2 linked regions of the Ovis aries genome follow. The protein of the gene in region 1 purifies or fractionates together with the protein of each later gene. This does not show direct contact. Links are inferred from orthologs where the notes say so. Each region holds a gene or a part of one and is shown on either strand. Other genes may lie near its edges.

What was found.
Region 2: the proteins of TADA3 (region 1) and TAF10 purify together in Homo sapiens (affinity purification with mass spectrometry; 5 studies listed by BioGRID and IntAct, counting the BioPlex papers as one, with this or other methods). This does not show direct contact. The link is inferred for Ovis aries from reciprocal best matches to the Homo sapiens genes TADA3 and TAF10.

Annotation. Positions count from the first base shown.
Region 1 is NC_056072.1:16,899,817-16,907,369, forward strand, and holds the end of TADA3 (transcriptional adapter 3), read left to right. Parts: intron 1-614; coding exon 615-756; intron 757-847; coding exon 848-951; intron 952-987; exon of another isoform or gene 988-1,485; coding exon 1,486-1,560; exon of another isoform or gene 1,561-2,484; coding exon 2,485-2,594; exon of another isoform or gene 2,595-3,743; coding exon 3,744-3,929; exon of another isoform or gene 3,930-4,005; coding exon of another isoform or gene 4,006-4,099; exon of another isoform or gene 4,100-5,840; coding exon 5,841-6,033; 3' UTR 6,034-6,396; downstream 6,397-7,553. UniProt on the Homo sapiens protein: Functions as a component of the PCAF complex. The PCAF complex is capable of efficiently acetylating histones in a nucleosomal context. The PCAF complex could be considered as the human version of the yeast SAGA complex.
Region 2 is NC_056068.1:46,193,048-46,200,465, reverse strand, and holds TAF10 (transcription initiation factor TFIID subunit 10), read right to left. Parts: upstream 3,510-7,418; 5' UTR 3,485-3,509; coding exon 3,253-3,484; intron 3,115-3,252; coding exon 2,960-3,114; intron 2,724-2,959; coding exon 2,659-2,723; intron 2,571-2,658; coding exon 2,456-2,570; intron 2,273-2,455; coding exon 2,183-2,272; 3' UTR 2,102-2,182; downstream 1-2,101. Other genes in the region: ILK (integrin-linked protein kinase), read left to right, coding at 1-75, 169-252, 352-437, 556-665, 775-902, 998-1,119, 1,215-1,314, 1,422-1,552 and 1 more; TPP1 (tripeptidyl-peptidase 1), read right to left, coding at 7,028-7,168, 7,369-7,418. UniProt on the Homo sapiens protein: The TFIID basal transcription factor complex plays a major role in the initiation of RNA polymerase II (Pol II)-dependent transcription.

The DNA.
Region 1 (7,553 bases):
CTCTGGGCCTCTGTACATGCCAATCTCCCCTTGGCAAACTAACACCCTTCGAGTCCCTTACTGCACGTTACCTGCACCAAAATGGTTTTGCAGGTTTTCCAGCAGAAGGTTGGTCTGTCTGTTGCACTGCCACAACACCTTAACCTACTCTGTCACTCCACTTGTCTGAGTTTTTAAAAAACTTATTTGAAAAGGTAATCTATATGGGCAGTCACAAGTTCAAGCAGTGCATAAGCTATTTCTCTCATTTCTGACCTGAAGGCCTGTAGTTCTTTCGAGAGATAATAGCTCTCAACTGATATTGTCTGTGTACACACACCATTCTGCACGTTACATCATGGAAATTTTCCTGTATTGCCTTCTGTGTGTTTTAGTTGTTTATGTACCTGGCTTCTCTACTAAACTGTGAGTGTAGAGATTTTTCTCTCCTGTATCTCTTCTCACCTGAGCCTCAGGCCTCAACCCTGGACTAGATACTTGGGAGACATAAATGAAGGAAGGAGGGTGAGCGAAGAGCCTGTTGGCACTTCCAAGTGCACAAAGAGACCCTGCCACACCCCAGGCATTGCTGGCTGTATTTATCTCTTTGGGGCTGGGTGGGATGTCTCCCACAGATCCCGCCCCTAGGGAAGCACTACTCCCAGCGCTGGGCACAGGAGGACCTGCTGGAGGAGCAGAAGGACGGGGCCCGGGCAGCAGCTGTGGCTGACAAGAAGAAAGGCCTCTTGGGGCCCCTGACCGAACTGGACACTAAAGGTAAGTCCCTCACCTCCCTGCCCACCCCAGGCTAGGACTTGAGTTCCCAGAACTTCAGCCCACGAGTCTACCATGTGTCTGCCCAATTCAGATGTGGATGCCCTGCTGAAGAAGTCTGAGGCCCAGCATGAGCAGCCAGAAGACGGGTGTCCCTTTGGTGCCCTGACACAGCGTCTGCTGCAGGCCTTGGTGGAGGTGAGTACCCCCAATGCAAAACAGAAACCACTATCATTCTGTTTCAATGTTTGTTTATTGAAGTATATATTTAGAAAGGTACATAGGTCATAAATGTACAGCTTGATCGATTTTCACAAATGAGCAGCCTTGTACAACTAGTCCCAAGATCACAAAATAAAACATCATCAGTATCCTTGAAGGCCCTCTCATGCCCCTCCCAGTGTTTAACCTCCCCCACCTCCAGGGTAGCCACTATTCCACAGTTACTTTTGTGGAGCATTAGTGAAAGGCCCTGTGCAAAGGGCTTTCTACACATCCTCTTGTTAAAGGCAGATAGTGGTTAACCCCACATTACACCAAACAAGGTTGAGGCTCAAAAAAGGGAACTGTTTGCTTGACATCACACAGCTAACAAGCGGAAGCAGGCTTCAAACACCAGGTTCAGGTGCCCTTTCTTTATGCCCACTGGCTATCCCAAGCCATGTTTCTTCACCTATGAGCCTCAGTTTTCCCTCTGGCTCAAACACAATAGCCTCTTTCTCTCCCATGTAGCATTCTGGGCACATGTTCCAGATCAGTGGAGGCTGGGGGAGATCTCTGTTCCACACCATCAGACAGGGACCCCAGGTTTGCTGGCTTTTTAATTGTTTAAAAAAATGTATATATGTATTTTTGGCTGTGCTGGGTCTTCGTTACTGCTTAGGTTTTTCTCTAGTTGTGGCGATCAGGGGCTACTCTCTAGTTGGGGTGCTTGGGCTTGTAATTGCAGTGGCTTCTTTTGTTGTGGAGCAGGGGCTCTGGGGCGCACAGGCTCAGTAGTTGCAGCTCCCGGGCTCTAGAGCATAGGCTCAGTAGTTGTGGTGCCCAGGCTTAGTTGCTCTGCGGCATGTGGGATCTTCCTGGTTCAGGAATCAAACCTGTGTCTCCTGCATTCCACTGAGCCACCAGGGAAGCCCACTTTGCTGTTGTAAACATGCGCTCTGCACAGGATCACTCCAAATGTGACTGGCACTCCAGCCCACAGAAAAAGAGCAAGGAGGAGTGTGTGAAGATCCCGCTGGCTATGGCTCTTATCTCTTCTAATCACTTTCCATTGGAGAGTATTTGTCACATGACCACCCCGACTACAGGGGAGGCTGGGAAGTGGGGTTCATCTGGGCAGCCATTAGCCCAGCTCCTGTGGAGGAAAGGCGAGAATGGCTTTCGGACAGCCAGCAACCTCTGCTATGGTACAGCCCCTGTGCTCAGTACCGTGTGCCTAGCACAGCCCCTGGTGCACTGCAAATGCTTAACGAGCCCTAGTTCTTCTCATTACTGCTATTGAATGTTACCATCACTCTTCTGTGCTCCCTTTTGTATCAGTACAAAAACAAGAATTTATAAAATGATCAAAGCTTTTTGGAGCCAGTTTGGGAAAACTTCCCAGAGTGGGTGGAATGCGAAGAAGAAAAGATTTCTGGTATGTGAAGACTGTCCATGTAGGTCAGAGGGAAGCAGGAAATGGTAATACTACATCTCTTTCTTCCTCTGACCATCTCTGTGCTCTTCTAGGAAAATATTATTTCCCCCATGGAGGACTCTCCTATTCCAGACATGTCTGGAAAAGAATCGGGGGCGGATGGGGCAAGCACCTCTCCCCGCAATCAGAACAAGCCCTTCAGGTGAGTGACATCGTGTCCACACTCCACAGTCTGGCCTCTGCTTCTGCTGACTTCTGTCAATCCCAACGTGGGGTAGTCTTTATATTCATAGAGAGACCGAGGACATTTTGATAAAGCCCAATAGAAGTCAGATGTGCGTGCTGGCCCAGCACTTCCACGTACACAGACTTAGTTCAGGGTTTTCATTATGGCCCTGTTCTCACTGTAAACCTAAATATCCAACTGGAGGGGACTGGCCAGCTAACTCATTGTAACTCCATATGATGAAATAACTTGTAATTATCAATCATATTAGAGAAATATAATTAATTGATATGAAAAGATGGGATCAGTAGAGTGATAAGTGGAAAACATCAGTTGTAGCACAATATGAACAATATGACCCTATTTTTACTTAAGATATATTTAAATGTGTGCACATAGCGGGTAAGAAGTTAAAATAATACATAATAAAAGTGGGAAGAGAGACTTCCTGGGTTGTCCAGTGGTTAAGACTCCACACTACCAGTGCAGGGGGTGCGAGTTCAATCCCTGGTCAGAGAACTAAGATCTCACAGGGCCATGAGGTGTAGCCAAAAGATTAAAAAAAAAAGTGAGACTAATATGTAACACAATCTAGAATACGTATAGTGTTTATATAATGTGTGTGTTAGTCACTCAGTCGTGCCCGACTCTTTGCAACCCCATGGACTGCAATCCACCAGGTTCCTCTGTCCATGAGATTTTCCAGGCAAGGATACTGGAGTGGGTTGCCATTTCCTTCTCCAGGGGATCTTCCCAACCCAGGGATCGAACCCAGGTCTCCTGCACTGCAGGCAAATTCTTTACCGACTGAGCTACAAGGGAAGCCTTAACATAAAATACATATTTTTATGTATATACCACTGGAAAGAAAATGGTAAGTAATAATAACAGATAACATAATAATTCTCTCTAGGTTGTTAGCATTATAGGTTTTCCTGTATTTTATATTACATAATATATTGATATCTGTTGCTTGTGTCTGAAACAAGATGTGTCTGTCTCTGTATTTTGATATGTAGAGACAGAGAGGGTGTCCCAAAGAGAAGGGAAGGTGTTTGCTAGCTTGGGTGCCTCAGAGGGGCCCCCATGGGCTGGCCTTGAGCTGAGCACTGCCCTCCCCTGCAGTGTGCCGCATACCAAGTCCCTGGAGAGCCGCATTAAGGAGGAGCTGATCGCCCAGGGCCTGCTGGAGTCTGAGGACCGCCCTGCAGAGGACTCAGAGGACGAGGTTCTGGCGGAGCTGCGCAAGCGGCAGGCTGAGCTGAAGGCGCTCAGTGCCCACAACCGCACCAAGAAGCACGACCTGCTGAGGTGAGTGTGGACGGGAGGCCTCGGCCACAATGGTCCCCTTCTGGGAGCTTGACGACAGGCTTTCCAAACCTGGCAGGGCCTCTGAAGACCTGAGGAGCTTTGAAAAAAGAAGTCATTGCTGGGCACCACCCCACTGGTTATATCTCAAACAGTCTAATTCCACTGACTAGAGCTGAGCATCTGTGAGTTATTTATTTACCTCAAACTGTGGTAAAAACAAATAACACAAAATTTTACCCTCTAAACCATTTTTAAGTGTACAGTTTAGTAGTGTTAATTATACTCACATTGTTGTGTGGCTTATTTTTTAATTCTCTCCATGCTGATTTTCTTTTTCTCCCAAAGTGTGCTTTTTAAAAAAATTCTTGATCTTTGTTTTTGGTGCCAAAACTCAGGATTGAACCAGGGACCTTTTGTTTCGCCCAAGTTTTATAGTGAAAATTTCATACATGCAGAAAATCTGACGGACTAGCACAGTAAACACCAATATACTCTCTACCTCAGATTAGCAACTGTTAACATTTAGTTGGGCATCTGTGATTATCAGCCTCTCACCAGGAGTTGGCCAGTGTTGAAGTGCAACGTCACTCATTGTGTATTCATTCCCATACATCTTGCCCTGCATCGGTCACAAGGATGCAGGTGGTAACCAGAGGGAGATCACGGGAGGCACTGCCATTTTATTGGGGAGATAGACAAATAGCCCAACTAAGTCTCCTTGCTTCTGGTGGGTGCTGTGTCTTCACCTCACAGAGCCCCAGCAGAGCAAGGCACGCTCATCCATTTGGCCAGGTTGCCTATCTCTTAGACCTGGTCCTGTGGGTTAGGAGGAGAGGCAGGGCAAAGGGCTTACGGTCATTGCATGAGTGGTTGGCAAAGACACTCACCAGTAGGAACGAAAGTTGCTGACGAGCTGCTGCGGTATTTGAGGATGCAGGTGTACTGAGTGTCTACCATGTACCATGGGTTTTATGTCTGCCCTCTTACTTAATCTCCACTACAGCCCAGAGAGTAGCTGGTAGTTTTCCCTGTGCACCAAATGAGGAAATAAAGGCCCAGCGAAATGAGTGCTCTGCCGAAGGCCACACAGCCAGCAAACAGCCAAGCTGTGACTCAAGCCCAAGGCTGAGTCCAAAGCCTCATTCTAGTTCCCTCTCAAGGGCAAGAAGAGGAAAATACAGATGAAAGAGTACAGAGGAAGGGAGGGCAAGGGCAGAGGGGGGGAGAGAGAGAAGTACGGCTGTGCAGATGTGGAAGTCAGGGGCAGTGAAGGAACTAGCTTGGCTGTCAGAAGGCCCGCATGTACCCCTCAGTCCTGCATGGACAGGCTGCAAGGCATCTCCTGCCCCAAGCAGCAGCTTCCCCTTCTGAAAAATCAACAGGTTAGACTATGGATCTCTTTAGTGACCTTCCAGCTCCACCATCAATTGAGTTGATAGGTCAGGTTCCGTTCAGAGGCATTAGTTGGGCGTCTCACTCGCCTCCTGTAGACTCAGGCTGCCTGGACCCTTAGGTGGCTCTGGAATTTGGATGCTGAAGCAAGCAGGTCTTCTGCTGGCACCAGGGCACCTTTTAAAGATAGTGGGAGCCAGCCTGCCTCGATTCAGATCTCCTGTTCACTAGTTGCGGGATCCTGGGGCATTTCTTAGCCTCCTTGAGCCTCAGTTCCCTCACTGGTAACAAGAATAATAGTAGTACCTACCTCACAAGGTTGTTATGAGGATTAATTGAACTACTGTTTTTGAAGAGGCAGTACTTGGCACAGGGCACACCTAAGTGTGGCTCAGTAACTTTGCTTTTTGGTATGGAAAGGCCCACGGTCCCTGGGTAGCAGACGGGCTCAGTCTGGAAGAGCGAGGAGCCCCTGCAATCGTGGGCTTCCCACAGCATCTGGTTGGCTGGTCCCCATAGGCTGGCGAAGGAGGAGGTGAGCCGGCAGGAGCTGAGGCAGCGGGTCCGCATGGCAGACAATGAGGTCATGGATGCCTTCCGCAAGATCATGGCTGCCCGGCAGAAGAAACGGACCCCCACCAAGAAGGAGAAAGACCAGGCCTGGAAGACTCTGAAGGAGCGCGAGAGCATCCTGAAGCTGCTGGATGGGTAGCTCTCACCCCTGCTCAGGCCGCCTTCCCCTGGCCTGGGACGGAAGGCCCGCTTCCTTCGGGCTTCCAGAAGTTTGGCCTGTGGCTGCCTAGCTAGTGTCAAATGGCAGCAGTCTCTAGAGGCTGGGCCCTTCGCTGACATGTTCTGGCGAAACTCTGTACAGCCAGGACATGAGAGGCCCTGCTGGGCTGGCCTGGGACCCAGACTCTGCTTGGTCCCCCAGATGAGGGGGGGGCTTCATTTTTGGGTCATCCTCACCCCCTACCCTCCCTACCCCTTTCACCCTCAAGGACTTCTCCCTTGTGGTTTTGTAAAGTGCAGACTTAAGAATAAAGTGACTGAAACATGGTTTTTTTAAAAAGTATCCAGAATCTCTGCATGTCTGTTACTGTGGGGTAGAAAGGAACTGGTGTGAGTGGCAGAGTTGACTAGGGCATGCTCAATGGCTGTCAGCCTGTGGCCACTCACCCAGGTCATTCATTCAGGGAGAACTTTCTGAAGATATCTGTGGCCACAGGTAACAACATCTCAGCTCAAGGTGGTTTGACAATAAGGACATTGTGTTAGCTAGGGGTCTGGTGTTCCGGGGGCAGGGTGGCATCCACCAGGGTTGACCAAAGGGCCAGGGATCTCCACTCTCCCATGGTGTCAGCTTTTGCCTGAAGTAGGTTCCCTTCCTGCTGTGCAGTGGCAGCCAGTAGCAGCTGATGGAGGCCAAATGCTTCCTTATTTCTGTCCAGCACAAGAGGGCAGGAAGGCACCAGCTGGCTTCCACAGCCCACCCCAAAGAAGAAGAAGCCTTTCTCAGACACCCTTAGGTCTCACCAGCCCAATCTTGGTCCTACATGCCCATTCCTGAACAAGCCACTAGCAAGGGATGACTCTAATGGGTTTAGACCACTCTCCATGAGAAAGGAGTCTGCTTCCCCACTAAGCCTAAGGCAGTGGGGAGACAGGGTAGAACAGATGAATAAACACTCTTGTTTTTGTCTCCAACTGTTCCTAAACTCTCTGTGGTGTCAGAGAGTCAGAGAATATTTTGCAATTTACTGTGGGAAGGTTGAGGTCCACATGGAGGCGGAGTGGGGAGGTGCGGGGGGCAGAGATTCCTTGAGGAAGTGACCTATGAACCGAGCATTAAAGGAGGATGGCCAGGATGGCCAACATTCTTATACGGCCAACACGTCTCCTGTTAGAGAACTGCCTTTTTCCCATTCCACCTAGCTCTGTGGGCTGTCAAAAGAGGGTGGACACATGACACCAGCATGGCCAATCTCAGTCTGCCATCCCTCTAGCCACAATGATTGGTCCAAAGAATGGGCAAGTGACCCAAGCTGGGCCAATCAGAGGCCTTCCGTAAGCCTGCTCTATGGATGCTGAAAGAAAGGAGGACGTCTCTTTTGAGCGAAAAACCACAGAATATAAGCTTGAACCACCCAGTAACCCATTTTCCAGCCACATGGAAAAGTCTGCCTGAGAATACAGCTAATTTAGGAAGCAGAGCCAGGAGATGGAAGACAG
Region 2 (7,418 bases), on another chromosome or scaffold:
TTGTCAGCATCTGTAACAAGTATGGAGAGATGCCTGTGGACAAAGCCAAGGCACCCCTGAGAGAGCTGCTCCGAGGTCTGTCCCCACCCACCGCTGTGTCCTCGTCTTGTCCTAGCCTGTCTCTTTCCACACAACAGCTGAGGTCAAGACTTTGTCTTTCTTCCCCAGAGCGGGCAGAGAAGATGGGCCAGAATCTGAACCGTATTCCATACAAGGACACATTCTGGAAGGGGACTACCCGCACTCGGCCCCGTGAGTCAGCTGTGAGGGGAGGGGTGGTGAGAGAATAGTCCTGGACTCCTGGGGCTGGGAAAGAGGGAAGCTGGGTGCCTGACCTGCCCACACTCTCAGGAAATGGGACTCTGAACAAACACTCCGGCATTGACTTCAAACAGCTCAACTTCCTGGCGAAGCTCAACGAGAATCACTCTGGAGAGGTAACTCCCCACCCCACCCTATTACCTGTTGTGCACCTGTTTTAAGTCTCTCCTCCAGTTAGTGGGCAAGAAAACAGTGGCCTTAGTTAAAGCCTTCTAACCCTTATCTGTCCCTCAGCTATGGAAGGGCCGCTGGCAGGGCAATGACATTGTCGTGAAGATGCTAAAGGTTCGAGACTGGAGTACAAGGAAGAGCAGGGACTTCAATGAGGAGTGTCCCCGGCTCAGGTGGGGCAAGGCCTAAACTGGAAGCCTTGATTTCAAGGAGCCCTGTCAGCACCCAGAGGGAGATCTTTTATGCTGGATCTCAGCCAGGGGCATTCTCTCCCTCTTCCAGGATTTTCTCACATCCCAATGTGCTCCCAGTGCTTGGTGCCTGTCAGTCTCCACCTGCTCCTCACCCGACCCTCATCACACACTGGATGCCATACGGATCCCTGTACAATGTGCTACATGAAGGCACCAGTGAGTAGGGAGTGCCAAATCTCACTGCAGCAGGGTGTGGGGAAGGAAAGTCTGTGAGCCTCTCCAAATGATTTAACTCTTGCCTTCTCACTTAGATTTCGTTGTGGACCAGAGCCAGGCTGTGAAGTTTGCATTGGACATGGCAAGGGGCATGGCCTTCCTACACACACTAGAGCCCCTCATCCCACGACATGCACTCAACAGCCGTAGTGTAATGGTGAGATCACAACTTCACTCCCGGCCCAAGCCCCAGAGGTCCTTTCCCTAGAATAGGACTTACCTCCTTCCACACAACTATCTTCTCTTCCTCAGATTGATGAGGACATGACTGCTCGAATCAGTATGGCCGACGTCAAGTTCTCCTTCCAGTGCCCCGGGCGCATGTATGCACCTGCCTGGGTGGCTCCTGAAGGTGAGTGATGGCATTATGATGTGAGGCAGAGAAGGGGCAGCTCAGTAGTAATGGAAGGGAACACAGACAGGACAAGCAGCTGGAACAGATAAGTCCTATCCCTCTAGCTCTGCAAAAGAAGCCTGAAGACACAAACAGACGCTCAGCAGATATGTGGAGTTTTGCAGTGCTTCTGTGGGAACTGGTGACACGGGAGGTACCCTTTGCTGACCTCTCCAACATGGAAATTGGAATGAAGGTGAGAGCATAACTGGATATACTTGTGGTGGTAGTGACAATAATTGTAGTGGGGCTGGGCTCCTGCCACATTGATTCAAATACACAGAATCCTGTCCTGAGGGCTAGACGTCTCTCCCGACATGAGACTCAAGTTCTGAGACTCACCTTGTTTTTCCTTGTGTTTGCAGGTGGCATTGGAAGGCCTTCGGCCTACCATCCCACCAGGCATTTCCCCCCACGTTTGTAAACTCATGAAGATCTGCATGAATGAAGACCCTGCTAAGCGGCCCAAGTTTGACATGATCGTGCCTATCCTGGAGAAGATGCAGGACAAGTAGAGCTGGAAAGTCCTTATCTGAACTCCAGAGGTGTCAGGACACGGTTAGGGGAGTGCACCTCCCCAAAGCAGTAGGCCTCTGGTTGCCTCCCCTGCCACTAGTCATGGTACTACCCCAGCCATGGGGCCCATCCCCTGCCCCCATCCCTACCACTGTGGCCCCAAAAGGGAATGGGCTCAAAGCTTTGTCACTTGCCACACGGTGTCTCCCAGCATGGGAGGGATCAGCCCTGCCTGTCACAATAAAGTTTATTATGAAAACAGGCTGGTGTGGGGACAAGAGAACAGACAAGTACATTTAGACTGGGTGGCTCAGGTGAAGTAGTGCGGCTTCTTCACATTGATGCCATACTCGCTGAGGGCAGGGGTCAAGTCCTCCATGGTTAGAGTGTACTTGCGGTCCTGAGGGAAGAGGGAAGAGCACCAGCTGAACACAGGAATTCCAGATTTCAATCCCAGGCAGGTGACCCTGAGTAGGTCTTTCACCTCCCCTAAGGCTTAATTTCCCTCAAAGGGGTTTCAGGATAATTTAAGCCTCTGCTGCTGTAGGAAGTAATTACTGAATCAATGAGCCTCCCCTCACACCTTGCTCTTGCTTCGGGAGCTGCCAGAGGCTGTGCCCTTCATTTTGCAGTGCTGTAGGGCATCGTTGGCAATATCTGAGATGAATTTCTGGGCAGCTAGGGAGATGAGCCGAATTCTGGAGAGAAAAAAATGGTATGAGAAGAGCATAGACAATAAACTCCACACAAACACCCAACACTCTAACCTGCCCAGAGTTTACTCACATGCGTGGGTCGGAGGCCTCAAAGCCAGCACGGTTCAGGTAGTAACCAGTCACTGCATCAGGGATCTGAGAAATCAATTAGACGACTGTAAGCGTTAGCCCTGTGTACAGCGGGGCTGAGAGTCGGGGTAAGGGAAATGGAGGGCAGGCCTGGCTATCAGGAAGCTCCCAGTTTGGGTGGGCAGAAGGGAAAAATCACAAAAGCTAGGAAGAGAAACACAAGAGGATGCTGCAAATCCAGATGGTGTGGCAGAAGTTGGCGTGACAGCGAGTCATTAGCCTTGTTCAGGCAGGAAGCCCACCGTAGGCGTGTAATCCTCCAGCTGCATCAGGAAGTCCACTAGAGGCGTGCTGGACACCACTGGCTTCACCTCTCCGTTGGCCGCGCTTGGCAGCACGTAAACCCCGTTAGACATGGCCCCCTCCGGGGGCGCCGCGCCGCCGGTCGTCACTGGAGCTGGAGGAAAACCAGCAAACTGAGACACGGAGGTGGGAGGCTCGAGGGTTCCGCTAGGTGTGTCTTACCCTCTGCCCTCACCCGCCGCTGGGCCCAGCCCAAAGCGCGGCCCTCGCCCTCACCCGTCCCGGCCCTCACCCGCCCCGCGCCGCTCGGCAGGCTCCCCGGCCCGCGCCGCCACGGCTCCAGTGCCCCCTGCCGCGGCTCCAGCCCCAGGCCCCCCTGACGTCCCCGCGGGGCTGGCCTTGTTCTCCGCGGCGGTGCCGGCGGGCAGCGCGGCGGGGGCCGAGACCGCGGGCGCCGGGCCCGGGGCCGAGGCGGCGGAGGCCGGCGCCGCCTCGGGGTCCGCGCCGGAGCCGCTGCAGCTCATCGGGCCGGTGGGAGAGGCGGCGAACAGAGCCGCTTCCGCTTCCGTTCACCTTACGCACACACCAGGGGTGACGTCACGCGCCCCACGACTCGTTCCTCCCACGCCACGTTCGCTCCTCCCTTAGGCCTCCTTCCTTTATTCCCCGCCCATCCAGCCGCTACCTGACAAAGGCGGGAGGGCGGAGACCAAGTGTTGCGGAACTGGGCTGGCGCGGACATTTCGCGTCCGGACCCGCGGTTCTCCAGTGTGGATCCGCTGGGATGGGAACCCCTCAATGTCGAGGATTCTCTTCTATGGGCTTGAGGCCCCCTCACCCAGCCTGACGTCTAAAATTCTTGCTTTGATGCTCATCGCCCCGACACCTCTCTACTGTTGGTCGCCTGCGTGTCTGCATCTTTTCTAAGTTCCTTTATCCAGCCTTTTAAGGGTTTGTAGTGGAGTTGAATAGCCTCTTTCCCCGCCAGCTGCCCAAAGTGAAGGTAACCGGACAGCTGACACAGTGCTGCTGCAGATGGGGAGAGAGGTACAGTCCACCGTCCGTATAGGTGGTGAAGGGTTGGTAGGATTGGTTCCGGGACTCCCCCGACTCCCGTCCCCAACCCATGTATACCAAAATCCGTGGATGCTCAAGTCCGTTATATGAAATGGCATAGTATTTGCACTGTATACTCTATATAATCTCTAGATTGCTTATAATATCCAATGCGATGTGAATAGTTTACTGGTGCATGGTAAATTCAAGTTTCGTCTTTTATAATTGGAATTAAAAAATATATATATCTTCAGTTCACGGTTGGGTGAATCTGTGGATGGAGAACCCGAGGATACAGAGGGATGGCTGTCTTTCAGTCTTAATAAACAATTTATGTAAAATCACGGCTAGTGAAAGAGTGGGGTTTTCAACACAGCAAAAATTTATTTTTGTCAGTCCTGAGCTAGGGTCTGCAAATACAGAGTTAAGTAGGAGAAGGTTCTACTCCTCCGGGCACCAGTGGTCTTGCAAAGGGAGGCATTAACAGTTAAACTTGCCATTTCACCAATATATGGGAGTTAAAATACTGGAGGTAGACACAGGGTGTGCAGTGCAAGGGAGGAAGGGAACTAATAGTTGCTGCCTACATCTGTGTGTTAGGCATTCCATTAAGTTTATTCCACTTAATGATTTCCTGAATATTAGAGGCAGGTATCAATATCCTCACTTAACAGATGAGGAAAAAGTCTCCAAGAGTTGAACTTACTTCCCCCAGGCTCTCTCTAGTCTATATCAGAACCAAGAATCTAGGACTTTTCTGTCATACCCACATCAACTAGCTTCAGGGAGCCAAAAGATTCACAAGAGGTGAGCTGAGTTTTGAAAGAATTCTGGACCTCAGCCAGGCACAGGAAGCCAGGGGTAATGTTAGGGCACAGAATATCTTGAGCAACAGTGAATGAAAGTGCATGGAGGGGAGTGTGGGGAGACCGGGAAGGGTAAACAATTTGTTACTTGGAAACAAATAGCAAGTAAAGAGATAGGTTTGTAAGTCATGATAAAAAGCTTGACCTATATCCAGTAATCTTTGAAGGCTCTTAATTAAGTAGATGACCTCATGAGATTTGCTCTGATAGTTGGTTTTGGGGCTTCCCTTGTGGCTCAGTGGTAAAGAACATGTCTGCCAATGCAAGATACCCATGTTCCATCCCTGGGTCAGGAAGAACCCTGGAGAAGGAAGTGGCAATCCACTCTGTATTCTTGCCTGGGAAGTCCCATGGACAGAGGAGCCTGGTGGGTTATAGTCCATGGGGTTGCAAAAGAGTCAGACACAACTTAGTGAATAAAGAACTGGTAGATGGTTTAGGGAAAGGCAGGATGTAAGGGCACTTCTTGCAAGGGCCTCAATTCAGAGGAGCGGGAATATGGCTCACAGCTCATGTAGTAGCAGTGGAGCTGGAGAGAAGTAGATGAATTCAAGATACACTTTGGAAATATAATTGGAAGAACTTTTGGGTTGATAAAGATGTATTTAAGAGATAGAGTCAGTAGGACTTGTTGACAAGGAGATGATGGGAGGAGGTGAAGGAAATGGGAAACTTGGATGATACTTTAGGTTTCTGGCTCAGTTGGAAGTGTCAAGCATAGTGTCATTTATAAATAAGAAAAGAGAACAGTTTGGGATTGGGAAGAACGGAGATGAACTATTGAGAATTACACATCTTGCTTTTGAGGTATCAATCCCTGTAGGATGGAAAGTCCGATTTAGTGAGATGGTGATGGCTGTGGATGCCAGTCATTGATTTGTTTCAGTGGACAATGAGTCAAGTGAGAAGAGCAAAAGACAAAGGATAGAGCAAGGATACTACATGGATTAGGTATGATTAGCATTTACACAGTTGTACCATTGCAAATCCTGTATGCAGCTCAGACAAAAATAGAATTGTATCGAGAGGACAAAAGAATGGGTGGTGCGGATTTTGAGTGATTGGGACAAGGAAGAAGAATGATCACAAGCTAATAGGAAGTCAGTAATGGCTATAATTGGGCAGGGGGAAATCAATAAACAGCAACATAAGCATGTTATTTAGAGATAAACTAGTGGTGGAAAACATGCCTGCCAATGCAGGAGATTTAAGAGATGCAGGTTCCATCCCTGGGTCAGGGAGATCCCCTGGAGGAGGGCCTGGCAACCCACTCCAGAATTCTTGCCTGGAGAACCCCAAAGACAAAGGAGCCTGGCAGGCTACAGTCCATGGGGTCACAAAGAGTCGGACACGACTGAAGCGACTTAGCACACACTAAAGAATCATCAGAAACAGTTGAAATGATTGCCTCAAGTAGCAGGAAATGGGGGTAGATATATAAGGCGTGGCTATTTTTTAGCAGTAAGACTTAAAGAAGTATTTGACAATGTGCCCATATACTTTGATAAAATAAAAACCAAGAGTTATAAAATTTTACAAAAGGATAGAGCAACAAAATACAACAACGTTTAATGAGGAAGCAGAGAAAGAGAAGGAGGGAAAAGGGAATGAAGGAGGAAGAGGGAGTGGTCAGAGAAGAAGTTAAGCCCTGGAAGCTAAGAAAAAAGAGGCAGTAGGCTTCTATGACAGAGAGCTCACAAAGCAAAGGTTGGGAGTATTTCTTAGGGGGAAGGAAAGAGTAAAACAGTAAGAGTAGAGGTCTCATGGCAATGAATTGAGGAATGAGGATGCAGTGAAATAGTGTACACAGTGTAGAAAACACATTGGAAAAGCCTGGTTGAAAAGAAAAGAAACGGAGCAGGGGGCCCTGGGGGGTGGGGGTGAGAGTGGTTGTATGCAGGGGATCCTCCCAAATAGTGCTGGTTATGGCACCTGTTGAGGAACCTGGGGCAGGGGGACCTGAGTATGATGGAACAGGTAGGGTTGGGAGTCAAGTCAAGCTCACAGCATTTCTGGGTTAGGGAGATAAGCTGTTTGTGGCAGTCAACGGTTGAGGGTTCAGCAGGGCCTCCAACACTGCAGAATAAGGGACCCAGCCACCTGCTGTGGGGCAGAGGACAGGCCAACCCTTCTAGCAGGAGAGGGTCAAGGGTTCATTAGTGTCTTCAGCAGAGCTGGGAAGTTGGGTGTTCCCCAGCCTGTCACAGGATCCCAGCCAGGGCCAGAGCAGAAACCTTGACCCTCCACCTCTTCATTCAGACAGGACTCATGGCAGCCACGGGTTACCTAGGGAGAGGGTGGGCATCAGATCTGGACCTGCTGATATTAACAGACTATAGCCCCTTACCCTGTATTCACAAATCCCAGAGGCTATCCCACCCCATCAGAATTGCCCTCAAGTTCATCTCAGCACTCAACATACTCTTAGGAGTATGAACGTTGTTATTTCATATGAAAATGGCCACAACCCTTCCTTCCATACTCACATCAAAGAGTCCTGCCCCACGCTGCTGGTAGAGCCTTGGGTTGAGAAAAC